3 linked regions of the Stegostoma tigrinum genome follow. The protein of the gene in region 2 purifies or fractionates together with the protein of the main gene of each other region. This does not show direct contact. Links are inferred from orthologs where the notes say so. Each region holds a gene or a part of one and is shown on either strand. Other genes may lie near its edges. The genes, in order: mitochondrial intermembrane space import and assembly protein 40-like, cytochrome c oxidase subunit 6B1-like and cytochrome b-c1 complex subunit 7.

Region 1 (7,904 bases), on a different chromosome or scaffold from region 2:
CCCCTCCTCACCCCCCTCACCCCCCCCTCCTCACACCCCTCACCCCCCCTCCTCACACCCCTCACCCCCCCACCTCCTCACCCCCCTCACTCCCCACCTCCTCACCCCCCTCACCCCCCCCACCTCCTCACCCCCCTCACCCCCCCACCTCCTCACCCCCCTCACCCCCCCACCTCCTCACCCCCCCACCTCCTCACCCCCCTCACCCCCCCACCTCCTCACCCCCCTCACCCCCCCACCTCCTCACCCCCCTCACCCCCCCACCTCCTCACCCCCCTCACCCCCCCACCTCCTCACCCCCCTCACCCCCCGCTCACCCACCCCACCTCCCGCTCACCCACCCCACCTCCTCACCCCCCTCACCCACCCCTCACACATCCCACCTCCTCACCCCCCTCACCCACCCCACCTCCTCACCCCCCTCACCTCCTCACCCCCCTCACCCACCCCACCTCCTCACCCCCCTCACCCACCCCACCTCCTCACCCCCCTCACCCACCCCACCTCCTCACCCCCCTCACCCACCCCACCCCCTCACCCACCCCACCTCCTCACCCACCCCACCTCCTCACCCCCCTCACCCACCCCACCTCCTCACCCCCCTCACCCACCCCACCTCCTCACCCACCCCACCTCCTCACCCCCCTCCTCACCCCCTCACCCACCCCACCTCCTCAACCCCCTCACCCACCCCACCTCCTCACCCCCCTCACCCACCCCACCTCCTCACCCCCCTCACCCACCCCACCTCCTCACCCCCCTCACCCCCCCCTCCTCACCCCCCCTCACCCCCCCTCACCCACCCCCCTCCTCACCCCCCTCACCCACCCCCCTCCTCACCCCCCTCACCCACCCCCCCTCCTCACCCCCCTCACCCACCCCACCTCCTCACCCACCCCACCTCCTCACCCCCCTCCTCAACCCCACCTCCTCAACCCCCTCACCTCCTCAACCCCCTCACCCACCCCACCTCCTCAACCCCACCTCCTCAACCCCCTCACCTCCTCAACCCCCTCACCCACCCCACCTCCTCAACCCCCTCACCCCCCCCACCTCCTCAACCCCCTCACCCCCCCCACCTCCTCACCCCCCTCACCCACCCCACCTCCTCACCCCCCTCACCCACCCCACCTCCTCACCCCCCTCTTCACCCCCCTCACCCACCCCACCCCACCCCCTCACCCACCCCACCCCACCCCCTCACCCACCTCACCCACCCCACCCCCCTCACCCACCCCACCCCTCACCCCCCTCACCCACCCCCCCTCCTCACCCCCCTCACCCACCCCCCTCACCCCCCCCACCCCCTCACCCACCCCCCTCCTCACCCCCCTCACCCCCTCACCCACCCCCTCACCCACCCCCTCACCCACCCCCCTCACCCACCCCCCTCCCACCCCCCTCACCCCCCCCACCCCCCTCACCCCCCCCCCACCCCCTCACCCCCCTCACCCCCTCACCCACCCCCTCACCCACCCCCCTCCTCACCCCCCTCACCCCCCCCACCCCCTCACCCACCCCCCTCCTCACCCCCCTCACCCCCCCCACCCCCTCACCCACCCCCCTCCTCACCCCCCTCACCCCCCCCACCCCCTCACCCACCCCCCTCCTCACCCCCCCCACCCCCTCACCCACCCCCCTCCTCACCCCCTCACCCCCCCCCACCCCCTCACCCACCCCACCTCCTCACCCACCCCACCTCCTCACCCCCCTCCTCACCCACCCCACCTCCTCACCCACCCCACCTCCTCACCCCCCTCCTCACCCACCCCACCTCCTCACCCACCCCACCTCCTCACCCCCCTCCTCACCCACCCCACCTCCTCACCCCCCTCACCCACCCCACCTCCTCAACCCCCTCACCTCCTCAACCCCCTCACCCACCCCACCTCCTCAACCCCCTCACCCACCCCACCTCCTCACCCCCCCTCACCCACCCCACCCCCCTCACCCACCCCACCCCTCACCCCCCTCACCCACCCCACCCCCCCCACCCCCTCACCCACCCCCCCTCCTCACCCCCCTCACCCACCCCCCTCACCCACCCCCCTCACCCACCCCCCTCCTCACCCCCCTCACCCACCCCCCTCACCCTCCCCCCCTCCCCCTCCCCCCCTCCTCACCCACCCCCCTCACCCTCCCCCCCTCCTCACACCCCTCCTCACCCTCCCCCCCTCCTCACCCCCCCCCCTCCTCACCCCCCCCCCCTCCCCACCCCCCTCACCCACCCCCCTCACCTCACCCACCCCCCTCACCCACCCCCCTCACCCACCCCCCTCACCTCACCCACCCCCCTCACCCACCCCCCTCACCCCACCCACCCCCCTCACCCACCCCCCTCCTCACCCACCCCCCTCCTCACCCACCCCCCTCACCCCCTCACCCACCCCCCTCACCCCCTCACCCACCCCCCTCCTCACCCCCCTCACCCCCCCCACTCCTCACCCCCCTCACCCCCCCCACCCCCCCCACCCCCTCCTCACCCCCCTCACCCACCCCCCTCCTCACCCCCCTCACCCACCCCCCTCCTCACCCCCCCCACCCCCTCACCCACCCCCCTCCCCCACCCCCACCCCCTCACCCACCCCCCTCCCCCACCCCCCTCCTCACCCCCCTCCCCTACCCCCCTCCTCACCCCCCTCCCCTCCTCACCCCCCTCACCCCCTCACCCACCCCCCTCCTCACCCCCTCCTCACCCTCACACCTGACCCTCCGTTCCCCCACCCCCTCACCCACCCCCCTCCTCACCCACCCCCCTCCTCACCCCCTCCTCACCCCCCTCCCCCACCCCCCTCCTCACCCCCCTCACCCCCTCACCCTCACACCTGACCCTCCGTTCCCCACCCCCCCGGCCCCTCACCGTGCCGCCGGCAGTGGGACATCTCTCTCTCTCTCTGTCTCTCTCTCTGTCTCTCTCTCTCTCTCTCTCTCTGTGTGAGGGTTCGTGTCCGGGGGGGTGGGGAAGAAATGTGTTTCTCAGTCTCCGGCCCGTGCTCCCGGCCTGACCTCTGACCCACAGGCAGGAACCAATCACAGCGAGAGGGCGGGGCCAGAACCGGGGGCCCAATTTAAAGCCGCAGAGACGGCCCAAAGCACCTACCCTATGGAATCTATAACATACACCCTATAGAATGCACAATGTCCGTCATACTAATCCATTAGAATGTATAATGTCCACAATACCTACCCTGTAGAATCTATATTTTCCGTAAACCCACCCTATGGAATGTATATTGTCCATAATACCCACCCTATGGAATGTATAATATCCATCACATCCACCTACTGAATAAACAATATTTATTAAGTTATAATGGACCAACGAGTTTGTGAGAATGGGTGATTGTGGTCATTGAGAGAATCAGGTGTGGCTGTGGGTAAAAAGCATGGACGGACTGTATTAGGCTCTTAAGGTTATTGAACTCATTGTTGAGTTCTAGAGGCCACAAGATCCCCGAGTGGAAAGTAAGATGTTCTTTGACCTTGCATTGAGGTTGGCTGGAACTCTACAGCAAGCCTGCAACAGAAATTTTGGCATGAGAACACAGCGGTGTGTTGAAGTGGCAGGCAACAGAAAGCTTAGGATCATTTTTGCAGACAGAGCTTGGTTTTCTGCAAAGCGGTTTGTGTGACGCAGACTAGGTTACATTCTGTACAGCTCACCGATTTTCTCCTACTCTTAGCTCTCATTGTCACATATTCAGTTTTTTTTCTATTCTGGCCTGCTACCCGTAATTTCCCTGTCTACCTAGCTCTTTCATATCTCTGTCTCTGGGCTCCGTCTCCACCAATCCGCCCTCATCTCCCCTTCAGATTCCCAGCTTCAGCTTCAGCATAAATATCACATTTTTCTGGCTCATACCAGCTCTGATGAAGAGTCTCTGGACCCTGTGCTTTCTTCCCACAGTTGCTGTCAGTCCTACTGAGTTTCTCCAGCAATTTCTATTTTTGTTTTAGATTTCCAGCATTTGTAATTCATTGTTTTATTTTAATCTATAGAATCCACAGGCTCAAATATTGTACAATATGTAATAACATGTGATTAATCTGTAGAATTGACCAGCAGGAAAGTGCAGTGAAAGACACAATTGGATGAGTATGAACTTATAGAATGGCAGTATAAGTGAGTTTTGAGAAGTTTTGACAGTATAAGTCAGGGGCTGTCCCTGCTCCAAGCTAAGATGGTCTTGAAATTTTGTGTGGCCATGTTCAGTACAATTGTGCAATCACCTCAATATGAGTGGATGCAGGTGAATAAAGTCATTTATATACTGGGGTTTCATTTTCCCTGGGGACCAGGTTCAAGCTGAAGAAAACTACAGCTCCCAGCATGCTTGCGGGAGGGTCCTAACCTTCCCAGGCGGAGCCCGGGGAGGCCACCACCCAGCATCCTCCGGTAGGTAAGACTACAATCCCCAGCATTCCTGGGGAGTCGACACCATCTCCCGGCAAGCTTCACGGGAGTAGGTCCGTCCCTCAGGAGTGCGCAGGCGCAGAATGTATCCCCCTTGAAGCCGGAAGTGAAGGTGTGAGAGGGGCTAGAGCTGACTGTGGTCTCCCCCCTCAGTGTGTGTTATTGGCAGGGAAACCATGGTGAGGCCTAATGTAAGTTCAGAACCACAAACAACAGCCTTGTCAACGTGCAGGTGAAGATTAATCTGAATTGGCGTTGGACACATTATCATCTGAAGATATTCCTGGGGAAGGGAGTTCCCTTCTATATTCTGACAGCCCAGATCCACGTGGCACAGCTTTGAACCTGAGGAAGACAAAGTTCCCATCTCCCTGGCATATTTGCAAGAGATCTGATATCTCTTCTTGTAAAATCAAAGGGGCTAACCAGAGTCCTTCTCCCTACCTCCCCCCCCCCCCCCCCCCCCAATCAGAACCACCAACCCTTCCCTATGTCTACTATGGCCCTGGACTGAAGCCAACAACTCTCCATCAGTTGCTGTTTTTTTTGTTTCTAATCAGCACAATTGTTGGCCAGTGCCAGAGCAAATCAAAATGATGCTGCACTATAATCAAAACATAATGGGTGGGAGGGTGCAAGTCTTGGTTAGTGAGATGTCACTGACGATGTGTAAATGACTTCAGACCCATTTGTCAAGATTATATTTTAAATGCTGTGTAAGATCCTCAGCTAAGTCAGTCAGCTCAATTATACTGGTTCTGGGTAAAATGAATGGGCAATAAATGTCAGTCTGACCAGGAATGCCCACAGCCCAACATCAAAAATTGTGTCACTGTTGTTTAAACACCTTCTGTTTTTGGGTGTGCCTGTACTGAATGGCCTGCAGCAGTTAATGAAGGCAGACAACATTTTGAAGGGAATTTAGAGATGGCCAGCCTAGCCAATACTATTCCACATCCCGTGAAAATGTTTACAAAGTTCATCTGTCTTCATTTCGCTTTTAAGATGGTACTTAAAGATTCATGAAAGCTTGTCCCTTCTGGTTTTGCAGCAACCAGGAGGCAGCAGGGATGAACACGTGAAGGTCACAAATCAGAAGAAGCAGGGATTCCTGGAACGTCTTGGGGAGACAATGGGGGGAATGGTGGTGGGAGTGCTTATCTTCACCTTGTCCTTCTACCTCCTCTTCACCAATGAGGTAGGTGCAGAGGTTGGATTACATGCTGTTTTCTGGGCAGGCATCAGTTATCCTGTTCAATTTGTGGTATCAGTGTCTGTTGCTCAGTGGGTAGCTCGCGCTCATTTCTGAATCAGAAGTTCATGGGTTCAAATCCCACATCAGGGACCTGGGCAAACAGAAGAATCTGAGGTGATAGTTTTTGTAAAATGCATGATGAGGAACGTTGATGTGAAACTTAACTGGATTTGATACACAACAAAACGTAAACAACGTGGCTACAAGAGCAGGTCAGAGGCTAGGAATACACCGGTGTGTAACTCCCCTCCTGACTCCCCAAAACACATCTAACCATCTAAAGGCACAAGTCAGGAGTGTGATGGAATACTCCCCACTTGCCTGGATGGATGCAGCTCTAACAACACTCAAGAAGGAATGAGGTGTGCAGTGAGCTGCCAATGTGTCGTTACTTGGCTTCATGTTCCTTACAGATAAAAGATCAAAGCTGAATGAGCTGAACTGTGAACTGCACAGAGAGGATAGAGACTTAGCAATGTGGGATCATTTCTACAGGCTAATTTCAGGAATTAGATGCATTGGAATGAACGGTCATGTCTCCCTCCGGTCTCTTCCTTCAAGTAGACGTTGTTGGGCTGGCTATCAGATTCCATTAGGTATTTGATTTACAAGTCCGTGGTATTGAAGTGGACATAATTAACTGTGCCAAATGATATTGAGCTGGAAGCTGGAACAAGGGACAGTGATGTTTGGAGATTTGTAAACAGAGAAAAATACACACTGCTATTATCCTGTGGTTTTACAATGAAAGCTTTGGTACCACATCCCTCTGAGACAGCATTCTCCCAAATACAGATAATCAAGTCCAAGTATCTCACCTGCCTCACAAATGCCCGTGTGATGGACTGTATAGAACTAGCTAGTTCAAATTATAATTTGGCTACTCAAAGAGGAGGATAACATACTGAGCCTATATGTAGAAGACAAAATGAATAATCAGATATACTAAAAATAAATGCATTATTTTCTTTCAGGTAGATTCTTGTTTGCACTAAAACTCAAAAAGTGATCTTGTGCTTAAGAATGTTGAAGTCCCTTGAAATAACACCATCTTCCTTCCTCTGGCTATCTGAGTTCTTCTAGATGTTGTCATGTCCCGGTTACCGCTCACTAGTATTCCCTGTAAACTGGGCACAGCAGCGTGGTAGGGCAGTGACACAGAATATTCTGCTTGGTGCAGTTACCAGGAACATTGCCCATGTGTGTTGTTGATGAACGTTTTGCTCACAGTCTGACGGTAATTCCATTGAAAAAATCATCAACCACTTGTTTGAACCCAACATAGACTCGCACTTTACATCTTGCTGTAACCTCTTCCAGTCCCCAAATCCTCCGATATCTCTGCCTCGCTCCAATTCTAATCCCTGGAGTATCTGTGATTTTAATCCCTCCGCCATTGAATGCTATACCGACAGCTGTCTGGACTCAACACTCTAGAATTCCCTCCATAAACCTCTCTAATTGTCTCTTTCTTTATCTCTCTATCCTCCTTTAAGATGCCGGTCTGTTTGAGATTTTGGTCACTAATGCTGCATTTTTATGTTGCTGGGTGACGGTTATTCTCTAATCTACGTTCTTGTGAAATGTCTTGGAACATTTTATATTGTGCTGATGTAGTTCTATAAAAGCAGGTTTATTTACAAGGCTCCTCTGACAACATCTCCTAAAACCATAACAGTTACCATCTGGAAAGAAAACGGTAGCACATGCAGGCACTCGCTGGGTTGGGAATGGGTCCCAGTCCTGACCCCATTCACAAACTGACTTGTACCCAGATTGGAGCACAGTGAAGGACAGTGTAGAGGAACTGTTCCTAAATTCAGGAAGTGTTCATGTGTTGGGTGTATAAAATTTCTCCCTTTATGGAATTGTGTTTGTAAGTAGGAGTGTTTGTAAATCAGTGACCCCCGTATGTGGGAACACCATCCCCTGCAAGTTCCCCTCCAAGCCCCTCACCATCCTGACTTGGAAATATATCCCCGTTCCTTCAGTGCCACTGTGCCAAAATCCTGGAATTCCCTCCCTAAGGGACATTGTGGGTCAACTCACAGCACATGGACTGCAGTGGCTCTTGAAGGCATCTCATCCCCACCTTCTCAAGAGAGCAACTACGGACGGACAATAAATGTTGAATTGAATTGAGTTAACTCTATTGTCATGTACTCAAATGAGTACAGTGATCAGTTTATGTGTCGCCACTTACAGCACCACCTTAGGTACAAAGGTACCGAGGTT
Region 2 (8,053 bases):
TGGGACAAATTAGCTGTGGGAAATGCAGGGTTACAGAGATAGGGTAGGGGGGTGGTGGGTCTGGATGGGATGCTGATCAGAGGGTGGTGTGGACTCGATGGGCCAAATGGCCTGCTTCCACACTGTAGGGATTCCATGATTCTACTGGTGGAAGGGATGGAAACTCTAACACCCCCCCAAGCATATCTTATAATCCCAGAGGCTGCTGTGGCAGTGTCCTTGCCTTTGAGGCAGGTGACCTAGGTTCAAATCCCACCTGCTCTAGAGGTGTGTAATAACATTTCTCAACAGGTTATTTAAGGAAAAAAGAACATGCAGTTTGTAGACAGCCTGTAATTCTCTGAGAAGGTAATTAAGTTGCATTTCATATGGACTTACAAAGTGATAAAGATTCTGAAGTGAGATTAGTAAAGATGAGTGATCAGATAGAACAAGAGGTGTACACAAATGTTATTAGGCTTTTGATGGCAGAGAACTCTAGGATTGGAAAGAAAAGAAAGATTGAAATAATTCACGGATGCATTTTGATGAAATTGCTCAAGTACAAAGTGAAACATCTCAAGAAAGGTGACAATAAACAGGGAAGTGTTTTATTAAATTAGCAAATCGTGAATACGTTCAGAGATATTAAGAAGTGCTGATGCTGGAGTCAGAGACAACATGCGTCGGGGCCCTTCTTCAGAAATAAGATCTGCACTGGAGAACTGTTGCTCCAAACATCTGTCACCCAGGAAACAACAGACAGGCAGAGCTAATTAATGAAAATAATTTAGCAATTATTATTAATATACCCTGGTAGATGTGCACCCAGTCATACTGAGTTCTGCATACACTGGAATTACAATGAGAACACTTTACTGAGGAGGCAGCAATCAAAGTTTACGCACATTTGGAATATAGCATGGTTGCCCTCAAACAAAAGATGCAGATGATGAGAAAGGATCATGACAATTTTATGTCTTGGAGACTAAAATCAGAAGAAAGGCTCAAGGAGCTTAACATGAAGTTGTTAACAAAGACTCAGCAGAGACTATTTTTTGTATTACACCCACAGACAGAGAGAAAATCAAACTCTCTGCCATTCCCATTATCTCTGTAATTGTTTTCTCCTTTTACAGTAATATGTAACCCTTGGTATTGAACTGAAGTCTCACCTGCCTTCTCAAGTTGATATAAATAAACTCCATGTCCTTTCTTTTGTCTAGTCTCTTAGTCCCTGTTTATCCCACAATAAACAGCATTAAAACTGATAACCTAATCTTACTTCCAAGCTTTCATTATTTTTAAACAGAATCATTTAAAGTAAAACTTGCTGTGCCATGTTTAAAGATAATAAGTCACCAGGACCAGGCGAAATGCAGCATGGAGACTGAGTGAAGTCATGATGCAAATTACAAAGGCACTGGCCACAATCTTCCTATCCCCTGAGACACAGAGGTAATGTAGATGTAATGTAAAAATTATACCCCTGTTTGAAAAAATGTTTAAAAATACACCCAGCAACAACACAATAGACAGTTTAGCTTTGATAGTGAAAAAGCTGTCAGAAATAATAATCCTGGAGAAAATTAGCAGCCACTTGGACATCTACAAATTCAGGGAAGCTAGTATAGTCTTGTTAAGGGCAAATCATGTTTAATTAGTTTGGATTTTTCAATGAAACAACAGATGGTTGATGAGTTTCAGTTATGAAGGAAGACCAGACAGACTGGGCTGGTTTACCTTGGAACTGAGGAGACTGAGAGGGTACATGATTGAGATGTATATAATTTTGAGATGTGTAGACAGGGTTGGCAGGAAGAAACTTTCCCCCTTGACGGAGGGATGAATAACCCGGGAAATAGATTTAAGGCAAGGAGTGGAAAGCTTAGAGGAGACATGAGGGAAAATGTTTTCACCCATAGGGTAGTGGGAATGTGGTACTCACTGGCAATGGGGTGGTAGAGACAGAAACTCCCATGACATTTGAGAAGTATTTAGATGTGCACTTGGGATGCCAGAGCATATGGGCCAAGTACTAGAAAATGGGATTAGAATAGTTAGGTGATAACAAAATGTGAGGCTGGATGAACACAGCAGGCCAAGCAGCATCTCAGGAGCACAAAAGCTGACGTTTCGGGCCTAGACCCTTCATCAGAGAGGGGGATGGGGAGAGGGATCTGGAATAAATAGGGAGAGAGGGGGAGGCAGACCGAAGATGGAGAGTAAAGAAGATAGGTGGAGAGAGTATAGGTGGGGAGGTAGGGAGGGGATAGGCCAGTCCAGGGAAGACGGACAGGTCAAGGAGGTGGGATGAGGTTAGTAGATAGATGGGGGTGCATCTATCTACTAACCTCATCCCACCTCCTTGACCTGTCCGTCTTCCCTGGACTGACCTATCCCCTCCCTACCTCCCCACCTATACTCTCTCCACCTATCTTCTTTACTCTCCATCTTCGGTCCGCCTCCCCCTCTCTCCCTATTTATTCCAGTTCCCTCTCCCCATCCCCCTCTCTGATGAAGGGTCTAGGCCCGAAACGTCAGCTTTTGTGCTCCTGAGATGCTGCTTGGCCTGCTGTGTTCATCCAGCCTCACATTTTGTTATCTTGGAGTTCTCCAGCATCTGCAGTTCCCATTATCTCTAGAATAGTTAGGTGGTTGTTTTTGATGGGTGTGGACTCAATGGGTTGAGGGGCTTTTATTCTGTGCTACAGATCTCTATAACATTATCATGCGATGCATATGGTGTACATAGCATTCCAAAGGCATTCACTAAAATGCTACCTAACAGGCTTCTCATAAATGTAAAAGCTTGTGAAATAAAGAAGACATCGGCTGTGTGGTCATCTCAGGGAATAGCAGTGAATGCTTGGTCGTCAGAATGAGGCAGGATGATTAGTGAGTTTCCCAGTAGTCTGTGTTAGGTCTGCTGCTCTTCCTGACATACATTACTGCCTGGACTTGCGTGTGCAGGGGATAATTTCTACAACCACAGATGAAACAAAACTTGGAAGAATTGTGAAGTATGAAAAGAATAGCAATAACCTTCCAATAAGACATCAGCTGATGTAATGGTTATGTGGCCATGAAATTTAATGCAGAGATGTGTCAACTGGTCATTAAGGTAAGAAGAACAAGGAAACAATAGGATATAATACGAAAGAGGATGGTGGGGAGTGGGAGCGGGGGCAGGTGGTGGAGGTCGGTGGGGGGAGGCAATGGTGGCAGGGGAACCTAGAGTATATGGGCACAAACATTTAAAGGGGACAGAGTATCTTGAGTAACTGATTAATGAAGACATACAGGATCCTGCATTTCATCACTGGGGGTGTAGAACATAAAAGGATGGAAATTGTGATGAACCTTAAGAAAATACAGTTTCAGCCTCAGACAAGGTACATTAGGAAGGATGTGAAGACATTGCTGGACAGTTGCCGTAAAAGGGTTAATCAGAATAGTTTTGGGGAAGAAAGCTTCTGACCCAAAGGGTGACAAAGATATTAAGAATTGCTGATGCTGGAGTCAGAGACAACATGTGTCAGGACCCTTCTTCAGAAATAAGGTCTGAACTGTCTGAACAGTTTGTTCTTGAGAAGAGAATGTCAAGGGTGAGATTTGATGGTGATATTCAAAATCATGAGGGGTCTAGAAATGATAGACACAGGATTGTTTATATTTGCAGATGTGCAGGTTTGGTGGATTGGCCATAGGAAATTACCCTGTTGTGTTCAGGAATCTACAAATTAGGTGGATTAGCCATGGGAAGTGTAGGATTATGGGGATAGGGTAGGGGTGTGACCGGGTCAGGGTGGGATGCTCTGAGGGCTGGTGCAGTCTTGATGGGCCAAATGGCCTCTTTCCACACTAATAGGATTGTATGACTCCAGAAGAGAAGCAGAAGCCACCAATGTAAGATGATTGGCAAAAGACCCAGAGGTTACACAAGGAAAAGCTTTATTATTGTCAACAAAATAGAAGTAGGTTGAAACTTTTCCTCTTTGTCAGGACAAAACACAAGAATACAACATTTCAAACAATCACAATAATTTAGACTGCAGCAGGAAAACAAAGGGGAGATGAAAGAACTATGGATGCTGGAAATTGGAAACAGGAACACAAATTACTGGAGAAACTCAGCTGTCTGGCAGCATCTGTGGAGAGGAAACAGTTAACATTTCCAGTCCGCAGAGTCAACCCTCATTGGCTGAGGGGTTGCCAATGTGGAAACCAAGGTGAAAGTACAGGTTGCTCAAATTCCTGGGGAATTCTAACGAAGGTGCAAAGTTTCAACCTAAGGTAGTTTGGACCCAAAATAGAAATTGCTGGAAAAGCTCAGCTGGCCTGGCAGCACCTGTGGAGAGAAATCAGAGTTAACGTTTCGGGTCCCTGTTCTGAGGAATGGGTCACTGGACCCGAAACGTTAACTCTGATTTCCCTTCAAAGATGTTATCAGACCTGCTGAGCTTTTCCAGCAGAGATAATGGGAACTGCAGATGCTGGAGAATCCAAGATAATAAAATGTGAGGCTGGATGAACACAGCAGGCCAAGCAGCATCTCAGGAGCACAAAAGCTGACGTTTCGGGCCTAGACCCTTCATCTCTGTGCTCCTGAGATGCTGCTTGGCCTGCTGTGTTCATCCAGCCTCACATTTTATTATCTTGGATTCTCCAGCAATTTGTTTTTGTTTCGTATTTGCAGCATCTGCAGTTCTTTAGGTTTTCCTTTACTTTGAACAGAGGGTCTCTAAATTGATACAATGATTTCTCATTTTGAGGCTTATTAATTTTGTATTAATAGGGTGTTAAACTGCATGCACTCTCTGACCAGGCCTGTAGCGGTGCTAAATACTCCAAATAATGAAATGTGGTTAATGATTAATCGCATTTTTTTTGGAACTAGCCCTCACATACATCCTTTATTTAATAGTTGAAATTCTGTCTATACAAACACTGCATTCACACCTTTGTTTTACATTCCGCTGCATGTTGCAATCACGACTGGAATGTTGTTACATTAATTTACTTGCTTCTCACCGCCCCCCCCCCCGCCACAGTTCCTGTTCCGGGTAAACGATTTCCTCCATTTTCAAATAAAACGTTTAGAACAGTAGTTGTAGATTTGTTTCAGGCTGATACAATGTAAGTAAGCATCTCGATCAGAAACGAGTTCTTAAATTGGTGAGTTATTTTGGAGTGAGTGAGTATTTAGGTTTGGCAATGGGTGGGGTGTATTGAACTTCTGCTGTAGGACGCCATGCAGCGTTAGTGAGCAGACACAGTGTAACTAACACGGAAGTGAAGTGTAGCCGTTTTTCGAGCACATTTCTCTGTCGCTTTGGATTACAGGTAGGACGTGGTCTTTTCCAGACACGGAGCAGCCAAACGCACAGAAATGATGTTAGACGTTTGCAGCCTGGTTTGAAAGCCTCCGCATCTTTCAAGATTGAATCCTTTTTGAGTAGGCTAGGGAAGCAGGAACCTGCTTTCGCTTTGAGATTTTAATTAGCGCCTAAGCGAGGCGGCGCTCTGCATTGTTGCACCAAACCGAGCGGGGTTTACATTATTTCAGGCTGTGAAAGGTCGCTTAGAGAACTCTGCATTCACAGTGAAATTTCGTACACAGTTGCTATTTCAGCTCAGTGGGGACCCGTTCCTGCTGTATGCAGGTAAATTACAGAGGGAGACTTTCCATCCTTTTTTTTGTGAACCCTGGTTTGTCCTTCTCAATGTCACTGCAGGCCTGGATTGGATTGACCTTGTGAGGGTAGAGGACAGTGTCGGAGGTGAACTGGTGGTGTTGGGAGCTGTAGGCCCCAGAGGGGGTGGGGAGGTGTGTGTGGAGGGAGGGTGGCGGGGTGACTGAAGCGGACACTGATTACAGCCTGGCGTAGATGGAATTTGAATTTGAATGTGAGCAATAGAAATTGATCTGGCTTCATTTCTGCTCTTTCTTCACAGCACAATTCCTGTTCAGAGCTTTTGTTTCAGATTTTTGACCAAAACAGCTTTGACTTGCTGTATGCAGAAGGACCCTGCCATTAGCTGGGTCAGAGTGGATTGACACGTCAGAAAAGTACCCTTAAGATAATAGGAACTGCAGATGCTGGAGAATCTGAGATAACAAAATGTGGAGCTGGATGAACACAGCAGGCCAAGCAGCATCTCAGGAGCACAAAAGCTGATGTTTTGGGCCTAATCCTTCATCAGACAAAGGGGAGGGGGAGAGGGTTCTGAAATAAATGGGGAAGGGGGGGAAGCAGAGGTGGATCGAAGGTGGAGAGGAGGCAGACAAGTTAAAGAGGTGGGGATGGAGCCAGAAGAGGTGAGTGTTGGTGGGGAGGGGATAGGTCAGTCTGGGGAGGATGGACAGGTCAAGGAGGTGGGATGAGGTCAGTAGGTAGGAAACGGAGGTGCACCTTGAGGTGGGAGGAGGGGATAGGTAGGCAGGCAGGGACAAGCTGGGTTTCCCAAAACCTCAAGCCGCACCTCCACTTCCTACCTACTAACCTCAACATGCCCCCCCCCCCCCCCCCCCCCCCCGACCTGTCCATCCTTACAGCAGAAAAGTACCCTACGCGGTTTGGTTAAGCTATGGCCCCTAGGCTTATTTCTGGTCAGCTTGTGCAGAGATATTATGGCCCATGTCTGGAGCAGGCGGGATGAAAACTGACTCGGGGCTAAAGGTAAACAGACTTTACCTTTAAAGTTACCATAGCCTCGCCAGAGCATCGTTAGAGAGAAATGACTGAGGGTTGTTTAACCTGAGGGGTAACCACGCCTCGTGAGAAAGGGAGAGATTGAGGAGAGTCCTTCATAATAACCTGTTGCTGTCACTGCATTGCAAACCAGTTGTCCAGCCAACTGATCTCTCCAACTCTGAGTTCGGGATGCTCCCAGTACGCTATAAGAGCCCTTTGGCAGGGGGGTTTTTGTTGGAGGTGTCTTTATGTTTTGTGCTGGCTACAGTACAGCTGAAGAAAGGATAAGGTTCTGAGGTTGGGACAATTGGTAAGAATGAAAGGAGAAGAGTGAATGATGAACTGAAGACTAGTCATAGAGCTGTACAGCTCAGAAACGGACCCTTTGGTCCAACTTGTTCATGCCAACAAGATATACCATGATTAATTTAGTCCCATTAATTAGCATTTGGCCCATATCCCTCTTAAACCTTACTGTTCATGTACACATTACTCAGAGGGAATACTGCCAACTGAATGAGTGATCTGGAGGCAGATGGAGATGTGGACTTCCATTTAACATTTATGCCTGAGTCGTTTGGGTTCCTTAGCATCCAGAGTTGGCTCACATAGAACCAACACTTAAGTACTTCCTTTTATTGTAAAATATTAATAGTATCCACATTTTAAATGGGTTTGAACTTTCCCAAGTGCTGATGTTACTGTAACAGTGACACCAGATGCACACTGGGTTGGTGAGCACAGCACTAACATTGTGGTTTCTGCCCATTTTGTCACAGCACTTCACTGCCATGCTCGTGTTTCTGTCCAAGGTCTGCTGCGGTTTCAGTGAACCCAGAAACAAGCTGGAGGAACAGCACCTCCTTTTCCATTTGGGTTCTTCATAGTCTCTGGAATCAATATTGAGTTCAACAATTTACAGACCACAAAAATTATTTCCCTCCGTTCAATTCCTCCCACCTCTCAAGCAACTAGTTTTCTGTATTTGGTAGAACTGAGCTACATTCTACTATTAACATTCACCTAGCCCACCTCTCTCTCCTCCACATTCATTGCCTTTTGTTTTATAATGCTGGTGGTGTCTAACCTTGCTCATTCTGTAACCATGTCCCCTCCTCCCCCTTCTGGTCCACTTGCTATTCTGAATTTCTTTCTATCATATAAAACCTATCCCCTTTCCCTGCCCCTCTCAAGCTCAAAAGAATTTTGAAACTTTAACTGCTTATCTCTCCAATGCTGTCAGACCTGCTGAATTTCTCCAGCACTTTGTTTTTATTTCAGATTTCCAGCATATGTAGTAACATCCTTTAGTGTTATGACATTGCACTAGGCTCAAAGCAGGAGTTTAAGTGGAATTAGGTTAAGATACCCTCTTT
Region 3 (8,029 bases), on a different chromosome or scaffold from region 2:
ATTATACAAATATGTTAAGGACAAAATGGTAACTAAGGAGATGATAGGACCCTTTTAAAGATCAGAAAGGCTATCTATGTGTGGAACTGCAGGACATGGGGGAGATGCTAAACAAGTATTTTGCCTCAATGTTTACTTTGGAGAAGGATATGGATGATACAGAACATGGGGAAATAAATAGCGACATTTTGAAAAATGTCCATATTCCAGAAGAGGTGGTGCTGGATGCCTTAAAATGCATAAAGGTGGATAAATCCCTGGGACCTGATCAGGTGTACCCTACAACTCTGTGGGAAGTGAGAAAAAAGATGGCCCCATACTGAGATATTTGTATCGTCGACAGCCACAGATGAGGTGCCACAAGACTGGAGATTGGCTAACATGGTGTCACTATTCATGAAAGGTGGTAAGGAAAATCCAGGGAACGATAGACCGGGGTGAGCCTGACATTGGTGGTGGGCAAGTTGCTGGAGGGAATCTTAGGGGATAGGATTTACATGTATTTGGAATGGCAAGGACTGATTAGGGATGGTCAAAGTGGCTTTGTGAGTGGGAAATTGTATGTCACTAACTTGATTGAATTTTTTGAAGTGACAGACATTACTAATGAGGGCAGAGCAGTGGACATGCTCTGTATGGAATTCAGGAAGGCATTCAACAAGGTTCCTCATGATAGACTGGTTAGCAAGGTTAGATCATATGGAACAGGGGGAGAACCAGCTGTTTGGACGCAGAACTGACTCAAAGGTAGAAGACAGAGGGTGGTGATGGAGGGTTGCTTTTCAGACTGGAAGCCTGTGACCTGTGGTGTGCTACAAGGATCAGTGCTGAGTCTACTGCTTTTCATCATTTTATGTAAATGATTAGGATGTGGACCGAGGAGATATGGTTAGTAAGTTTGCAGATCGGAGGTGTAGTGGACAGCAACAAAACCCTCAGAATACAAGGGGACCTCAATCAATCCAGCCAAGGGGCTGAGGAGTAGCAGATGGAGTTTAATTTAAATAAATTGAGGTTCGACATTTTGGAAAGGCAAACCAGGGCAAATCTTATATACCTAACGGTAAGGTCCTGGAGAGTTTTGCTGAGCAGAGAGGTCTCGGAGTGCAGGTTCACAGTTCCTTGAAAATGAATTTGCAGATAGACAGGATAGTGAAGAACTAAGGTTCCCCACGGCAGGCTCATTCATAAAGTTGGGAGATATGGGATACAGGGTGATTTGGCTGTCTGGATTCAGAATTGGTTGGCTGACAGGAGGCAGAGAGTGGTTGTAGATGGTAAGTATTCTGCCTGGAGGTCAGTGCTGAGTGGTGTCCTGCAGGGGTCTGTTCTTGGGCCTCTGCTCTTTGTAGTTTTTATAAATGACTTGGATGAGGATGTTGAGGGGTGGGTTAGTATGTTTGCTGATGACACAAAGGTTGGAGGTGTCGTTGATAGTATCGAGGGCTATTGCAGGCTTCAGCGAGACATTGATAGTATGCAGAGCTGGGCTGAGAAATGGCAGATGGAGTTCAACGTGGATAAATGCGAAGTGATGCATTTTGGAAGGTCTGACTTAAATGATGAATATAGGATTACAGGCAGGATTCTTGGCAGTGTGGAGGAACAGCAGGACCTTGGTGTTCAAGTGCATTGCTCCCTCAAAGTTGCCACACAAGTGGATAAGGTTGTTAAGAAAGCGTATGGTGTTTTGGCTTTCATTAACAGGGGGATCGAGTTTAAGAGCCGCGAGGTTTTGCTGCAGCTGTACAAAACCCTGGTGAGACCACACTTGGAATATTGTGTCCAGTTCTGGTCGCCCTATTATAGGAAATATGTGGAGGCTTTGGAAAGGGTGCAAAGGAGGTTTACCAGGATGCTGCCTGGACTGGAGGGCTTGTCTTACGAGGAGAGGTTGACTGAGCTTGGACTTTTCTCACTGGAGAGAAGGAGGAAGAGAGGGGACCTGATCGAGGTGTACAAGGTAATGAGGGGCATGGATAGAGTTGATAGCCAGAGACTTTTCCCCAGGGCAGGACTGACTGCCACGAGGGGTCATAGTTTTAAGGTGTTAGGTGGAAGGTATAGAGGAAGACGTCAGAGGAAGGTTCTTCACTCAGAGAGTTGTGAGTGCATGGAATAGTTTGCCAGTGGTAGTCGTGGAAGCGGAGTCATTAGTGACATTTAAGCGACTGCTGGACATGCACATGGACAGCAGTGAATTGAGGGGAATGTAGGTTAGGTTATTTTATTTTTGGATTAGGATTAATCCATGGCACAACATCGTTGGCCAAAGGGCCTGTACTGTGCTGTACTTTTCTATGTTCCATGTTCTAAGGCGCTTGATCAATGGAGAGTCAGAAACTGAGGGGGGTGACCTTACAGAGGCTTATGAAATCATGAAGGTCATGGATACGGTAAACAGACAAGGTCTTTTCCCCAGGGTAGGGAAACTAGACCGTGCAGGTTTAACATGAGAGGGGAAAGATTTAAAGGGATCTAAGGGGCAACTTTTTCACAGAGGATGATACGTGTATGGAATGAGCTTCCAGAGGACTTGACAGAGGCTGTTACTATCGCTAGATTTAAAAGGTATTTGGATGGGTATATGAACAGGAAGGGCTTAAAATGATATGGGCCAAGTGCTGGCAAATAGGACTAGATTAATGTCGGATATCTGGTCAACACGGATGAGTTGCACTGAAGGGTCTGTTTCTCTGCTCAATATCTCTATGACTCTGAGATCTGGAAAAGTGAAGCCTTCTCCAGTGTATCAACAGTCCAGTATGAGAAAAACACACGTTGACAAAGTATGCAGACCATCCTCCCAAGCAGTGCAGGAATGGGGAATTCTAGTCCTAAACACCAGCTGGCTCCCAAGCTCATCTTTGGGATCACAGAATAGTAAAAACACGGAAGGCAGCCATTTGTCTCACCGTGTCTATGCTAGCTCGTGAAAAAGTTACCAATTTGTCCTACTCTGCCAATCGTTCCCCATAGCCATGCAGATATTAATTCAATTTTCCTTTGAATATTATGATTAAAATTGCTGCTACCACTACTACCCTTAAAGCTGTGTATACGGAACCATCGTCACTCACCACGCCAAAAACAACTGGGTCACACTGGGTGCTTCTGGTAATTACCTTTACAATTATTTTCTACTTATCAAAAGATATATGGGTAGACATGGAACATTTAGCCCATCAAGTCTGCTCTGGCATTCAATGAGATCATGGCTTATATGACAATCCTCACTGTTCTGTCTTATCCCAATAACCCTTTATTCTTTTATGAGTAAAAACTTATCTAACTCAGCCTTGTCAATACTTAATGATCCAACCTTGACAGTTCTCTCTACAGTACAGAATGCCCCAGATTCACTATTCTGAGAAGAAATTCCTTCGCATCTCTGTCTTAAATGGGCAACCTATGGTCCTAGACTCTTCCCACAAGGGGAAACAACTTCTCTCCATCTATCCTGCTAAATGTCTCAAGAAGGTCTCCTGTCAATCTTAAAAACTTTAAATAAATACAAGCTTCCTTGTTCTCCTTCAATCATAAGTTTAGAAATGGAGAAGTTCATTGATGATTTCACAGTTTCAGTGCTATTCGCTACTGTTTACACACTGAAACAGTCCGTGAACATATGCAAAAAGACCTAGACAGCATCCAGGCTTGCGCTGATAATTGAAAAGTAGTATTTCCACTACATAAATGCTGCACAATAATCTTCTCAAACAAAACAGAATCTAACACTGTCCTGTGACATTCAACGGCAGTACAATCACTGAATCCTTACTATCAAAATTTGTACCATTGATAAAAAACTGAAGTAGAACGCCCTGTAGTTACAAGAGAAGGTTAGAGGCAAGGAATTTTGTGGTGTTTGTCGAATTTTATTTTCTGCCTCCCAAAGTCTGAACACCATTTACAAATCAGGACTAAGATGAAATGTTCTCCATACGCTGCCCTGACAATATTTAAGAAGCGCAACGCCATTCAGGAAAAAAAAAATGCCCCCTTGATTGGCACACCATCCAACAACTTAAATATTCCCTCCCTCCACTACTGTTACACTGTAGTAACGGTGTGTATAAAATGCACTGCAACAACTTGCCCTGGCTTATTTGCCAACACCTTCCAAACCCATGAACTCTTAATGCCTGGAAGGAGAAGGAAGCAGATGCATGGAAACACCACCACTTGCAAGTTCCCTACAAGCCCCACATGCAATCCTGCCTTAGAAATACATCACCACTCCTTCTGTGTTGTTGAATCAAACTCCTGGAACTTCCTTTCTAAAAGAACCTACACCGCAAGCACTGGTGCATTCAAGCCAGCTCATCATCAACTTCTCCAGGCCCTCACAGACGTGGAATAAATCCTGGCCAAGCAACCAATGCCCACATCTTATAAACAAAACGACATCAGTGCAAACACAGGACAGCTGCAAATATTTGTAATGTAACTATGAGATGTTGTTCCTTGAGCTTGACTGTATTGAATGCATGTAGATGCTTTGTGTTCAAAAGCAGAAAACTAATGCCATAAATGACAGAAATCTAGATCTACACATCCATAAACTCCTGGACAAAGGCACTAATATTGCTTGGGGCTGTGGAATTAATTTTTCTTCTGTGCTTAGTTTCTTTCATCTTTGGTGCAGTTTGTGGCTTGAGCGCTGTATCTATGAATGCTGTCCTTTCCCCCTACAATCCATCGGGTCCCGACCGTGGTTGGTTAGTGATGGGAGAGGTACCAGGTCTATCCTGGCGTCAGTGACCTGCTCCAGTAGCTGTCTCCTGCAGTGACTCTCTTGACATTGAGATCTAGCGGAGGAGAGGAACAACTTGTGTTTACAGCCCGGGAGCTACACTGTTCGCCATTGCCATGCGAAGAAATTAATGAAAACTTGCATTGTATTACTGCCTAACAAGGTGATTTCGCCGTCAGTCCCATACTCACTGGAAAGCACCAAACCCGGAACAGACACCACTTATACGGGGAAAAGGCACGTACGCATGCGCGGACGATGCCGGCGTACGATCTTTGGCCCACGCGCAGTCATTGTGACTCACATCGGGCACGTGCATGTAAGTCGGGTCGGCGCTGTCCTTCCGATCGAGTGCGTGTAAATACGTTAAACCGCGGTCACGCGACGCGTTTACGTTACATCTTTGCGCCGCAACTTTTGACGGGTGGCGCAGTCGCATTGAGCTCCTAAGCAGCAAGATGGCGGCTAGAGCCCCAGGTGAGGGAGAACGGGAAGGGGAGAGGGAAACAGTCCGGCTATGCATAAAGTTCCTGGCGCTTTCTACGTGGAGTTGGTGAGAGAAGTGGGCACCTTAGCCTGTCTCTGAGAGGGATGTGTGGGGATCCTCCGGGGACGGGTGGGGGAGGTAAGGTGACTGCGGGGTCCCGACCGTGGTTGGTTAGTGATGGGAGAGGTACCGGGTCTATCATGGCGTCAGTGACCAGCTCCAGTAGCTGTCCCCTGCAGTGACTCTCTTGACATTGAGATCTAGCGGAGGAGAGGAACAACTTGTGTTTACAGCGTTCAAGGTGACCCCAGCGGAAATCGCGACCGGAAGCTGGAGACTCTGCTCCTCACTGCAATTCGGCCGAGCGTATCAATACTGCCTCTTTTGGTGGCTTTTCCTGGATTTTCCTCCTTTTGAGTATTTATTCAACTCTTCCTTGAAAATTACTGTTAAGTTTATTTTCACCATTCCTTCGGGTAGAATATTCCAGATAATTTGGCGGTTGGGATAAATACATTCAGTTGTCAGTAGTAGTACTTAATGTTTTTAAATGTGTTTTTTTTCTCCTTGGCGCTCGTGTAACGTGTTGGGAATATCCCTGCCTCTGAGCCAAGAGACTTGGGTTCAACTGCCACCTGTTCTTCTAAGTCACTGCCCTTTAGTTGCTGAGAGTTTCTCCTTACTGCTTTTTAAAAAAATTGTTCAAAGTATATGGGAGTTGCTGGTTGTGCCAGCATTTATTCCCTAACCCTGGATGCCCTTGGAAGGTGGTGGTGAGCTGCCTTTTTTAAAAAAAAGAGCCACACCTTATTTGTTTTATGCAGACCAATAATGTTGTTAGGGAAGGTGTTCCAGAATTTTGAACCAGTAACACAGACAAGGTAGTGATGTTTTTTCCAAGTCAGGGTGATTAATGTCTTGGAAGGGAACTCCTCACGTGATGCTGTTTCCATACATCTGTTGTCTTTGTCCTTTTTAGCTGGTAGTATTGTGGGTTTTGAAGCTGTTATCTTAAGCCCAATTCAATTTCTGTAGTGCATCTTGCAGATGGTACAAACTGTTACTGTTGGAGAGAGTGAATGGCACCACATCCAAAAACAATCAAGCAAGCTGCTATGCCTTGGAAGGTGTCAAGCTTCTTGTTGACACTAATCCAGTCAAATAGGAAGTGTTCCATCAAGTTCCTGACTTGTGGCTTGGGGAGCCGGCATTGTGCTGTGCAGTTGTTTGACCGGTCTTATAGCCATTGAATGTGGCTAGTTCATTTCAGTTTCTGTTCAGTGGTAACAGCTAGGATGTTGACAGTGGGTGATTCTGTGATAATAATGCCTATGAATGTTAAGAGACAATGATTTAGATTCTCCTTTTTTAGATATGGCCATTGCCTTGCACTTGTCAGCTCAAACCTGGATGTTGTCCATGTCTTGCTGCATTTGGACGTGGACTGCTTCAGTGTTGGACAAGTTGTGAATGATGTTGAACGTCGTGTAATCATCAGAAAACATCCCACTTCTGACCTTTGTGGGCAATGTCATAATAAAGCAACTGAAAATGCTTGAGCCTGGAGCGCTACCCTGAAGAACTCGTGCTGCGATAACTGACCTCCAACAACCATAACTGTTTCTTTTGTGCTAGGTATGACTCCAACCAGCAGACAGTATCCCTGATTCCCATTGCCTCTGGTTTTGCGAAGTCTCTTGACTCTGTGCTTCGTTTCACAGTGCCAGGGACCCCGTTCAATTCCACCCTCTCGTCACTGTGCAAACTGCACACAGACATTCTCCCCATGTCTGTATGGATCTCCTCTTGTTACTCTGGTTTCCTCCCACAGTCCAAAGCTGTGCAATTTAGGGGAATTGGCCATGCTAAATTGCCCATAGCCAACCTACACATCCTTGAATGCTATGGGAAGTGCAGGGTTACCGGGATATAGTGGGGGTATGGGTCTGGGTAGGATATTCTTCAGAGGGTCATTGAGTGTGGACCCATTGGGCTGAATGGCCTGTTTCCACACTTTGGTGATTCAATGATTCATTATTACTGGCATATGTACTGAGATACTATGAAAAATATTTTATGTGCTAATCAGACAAATCATTACTTATATAATTACATTAGGGTAATTGAACAGAATGCAGAATATCATCTTCAGCTACAGAGAAGGTGTAGAGAAAGATCAACTGTAACATGAGAGGCCACACACAGTTAAATGGAGTCTCAATATCAAGGGCAGTCATTTTCACCTTACCTTGGGATTTCAGCTCTCTTGTCCATTTTTGAACTAAGCCTGTTCTGAGATCAGGCACCAAGTGGCCCTTGTGTAACCCAAACCTTTATCAAACCTGTTGGGAGGACAACCTCAATCCCTCATCCTTAGTTATATCTCACTAAAGTCTTCTGCATCCTTTTAAATGCTTTGGCATTTCTTCTAAATTTAGGTTCCAAGAATTATGCGCCTTGCTCCAGATAAAGCCCAAGTAATGTTTGAGTAATGTTTAATGTTCTTTCTTAGTCAGATAAAGTTAAGGATCCTTTAGTGACTTTTTGTAATCTCTTCTATTGAGCTACTGCCTTCAAAGATAGGGGCACGTGCGCCCTGCTCTTCACCTGCACCATACAACCTCTTCACCCCTCACCTCTCGACCAAACCTCTGTCTCAGTTCTCACCCATAAAACTATGCCGCCTAATTGATAACAAATAGAAATTGCTGGAGAAACTCGGTAGGTGTGATAGCACCTGATGAGTCACTGCACCCAAAATGTTCACCCTATTTTCTCTCCAGAGA

The links.
Region 1: the proteins of cytochrome c oxidase subunit 6B1-like (region 2) and mitochondrial intermembrane space import and assembly protein 40-like purify together in Homo sapiens (co-immunoprecipitation; 3 studies listed by BioGRID and IntAct, with this or other methods). This does not show direct contact. The link is inferred for Stegostoma tigrinum from reciprocal best matches to the Homo sapiens genes COX6B1 and CHCHD4.
Region 3: the proteins of cytochrome c oxidase subunit 6B1-like (region 2) and cytochrome b-c1 complex subunit 7 purify together in Homo sapiens (affinity purification with mass spectrometry; 3 studies listed by BioGRID and IntAct, counting the BioPlex papers as one, with this or other methods). This does not show direct contact. The link is inferred for Stegostoma tigrinum from reciprocal best matches to the Homo sapiens genes COX6B1 and UQCRB.

Annotation. Positions count from the first base shown.
Region 1 is NC_081364.1:2,799,755-2,807,658, forward strand, and holds the start of mitochondrial intermembrane space import and assembly protein 40-like, read right to left. Parts: upstream 3,009-7,904; 5' UTR 2,883-3,008; coding exon 2,861-2,882; intron 1-2,860. Other genes in the region: transmembrane protein 43-like, read left to right, coding at 4,591-4,605, 5,466-5,612.
Region 2 is NC_081376.1:6,942,138-6,950,190, forward strand, and holds the start of cytochrome c oxidase subunit 6B1-like, read left to right. Parts: upstream 1-5,025; 5' UTR 5,026-5,118; exon of another isoform or gene 5,119-5,157; intron 5,158-5,189; exon of another isoform or gene 5,190-5,325; intron 5,326-5,535; exon of another isoform or gene 5,536-5,645; intron 5,646-8,053. UniProt on the Homo sapiens protein: Component of the cytochrome c oxidase, the last enzyme in the mitochondrial electron transport chain which drives oxidative phosphorylation.
Region 3 is NC_081358.1:93,151,451-93,159,479, reverse strand, and holds the start of cytochrome b-c1 complex subunit 7, read left to right. Parts: upstream 1-4,999; 5' UTR 5,000-5,014; coding exon 5,015-5,075; intron 5,076-5,118; exon of another isoform or gene 5,119-5,214; coding exon of another isoform or gene 5,215-5,233; intron 5,234-8,029. UniProt on the Homo sapiens protein: Component of the ubiquinol-cytochrome c oxidoreductase, a multisubunit transmembrane complex that is part of the mitochondrial electron transport chain which drives oxidative phosphorylation.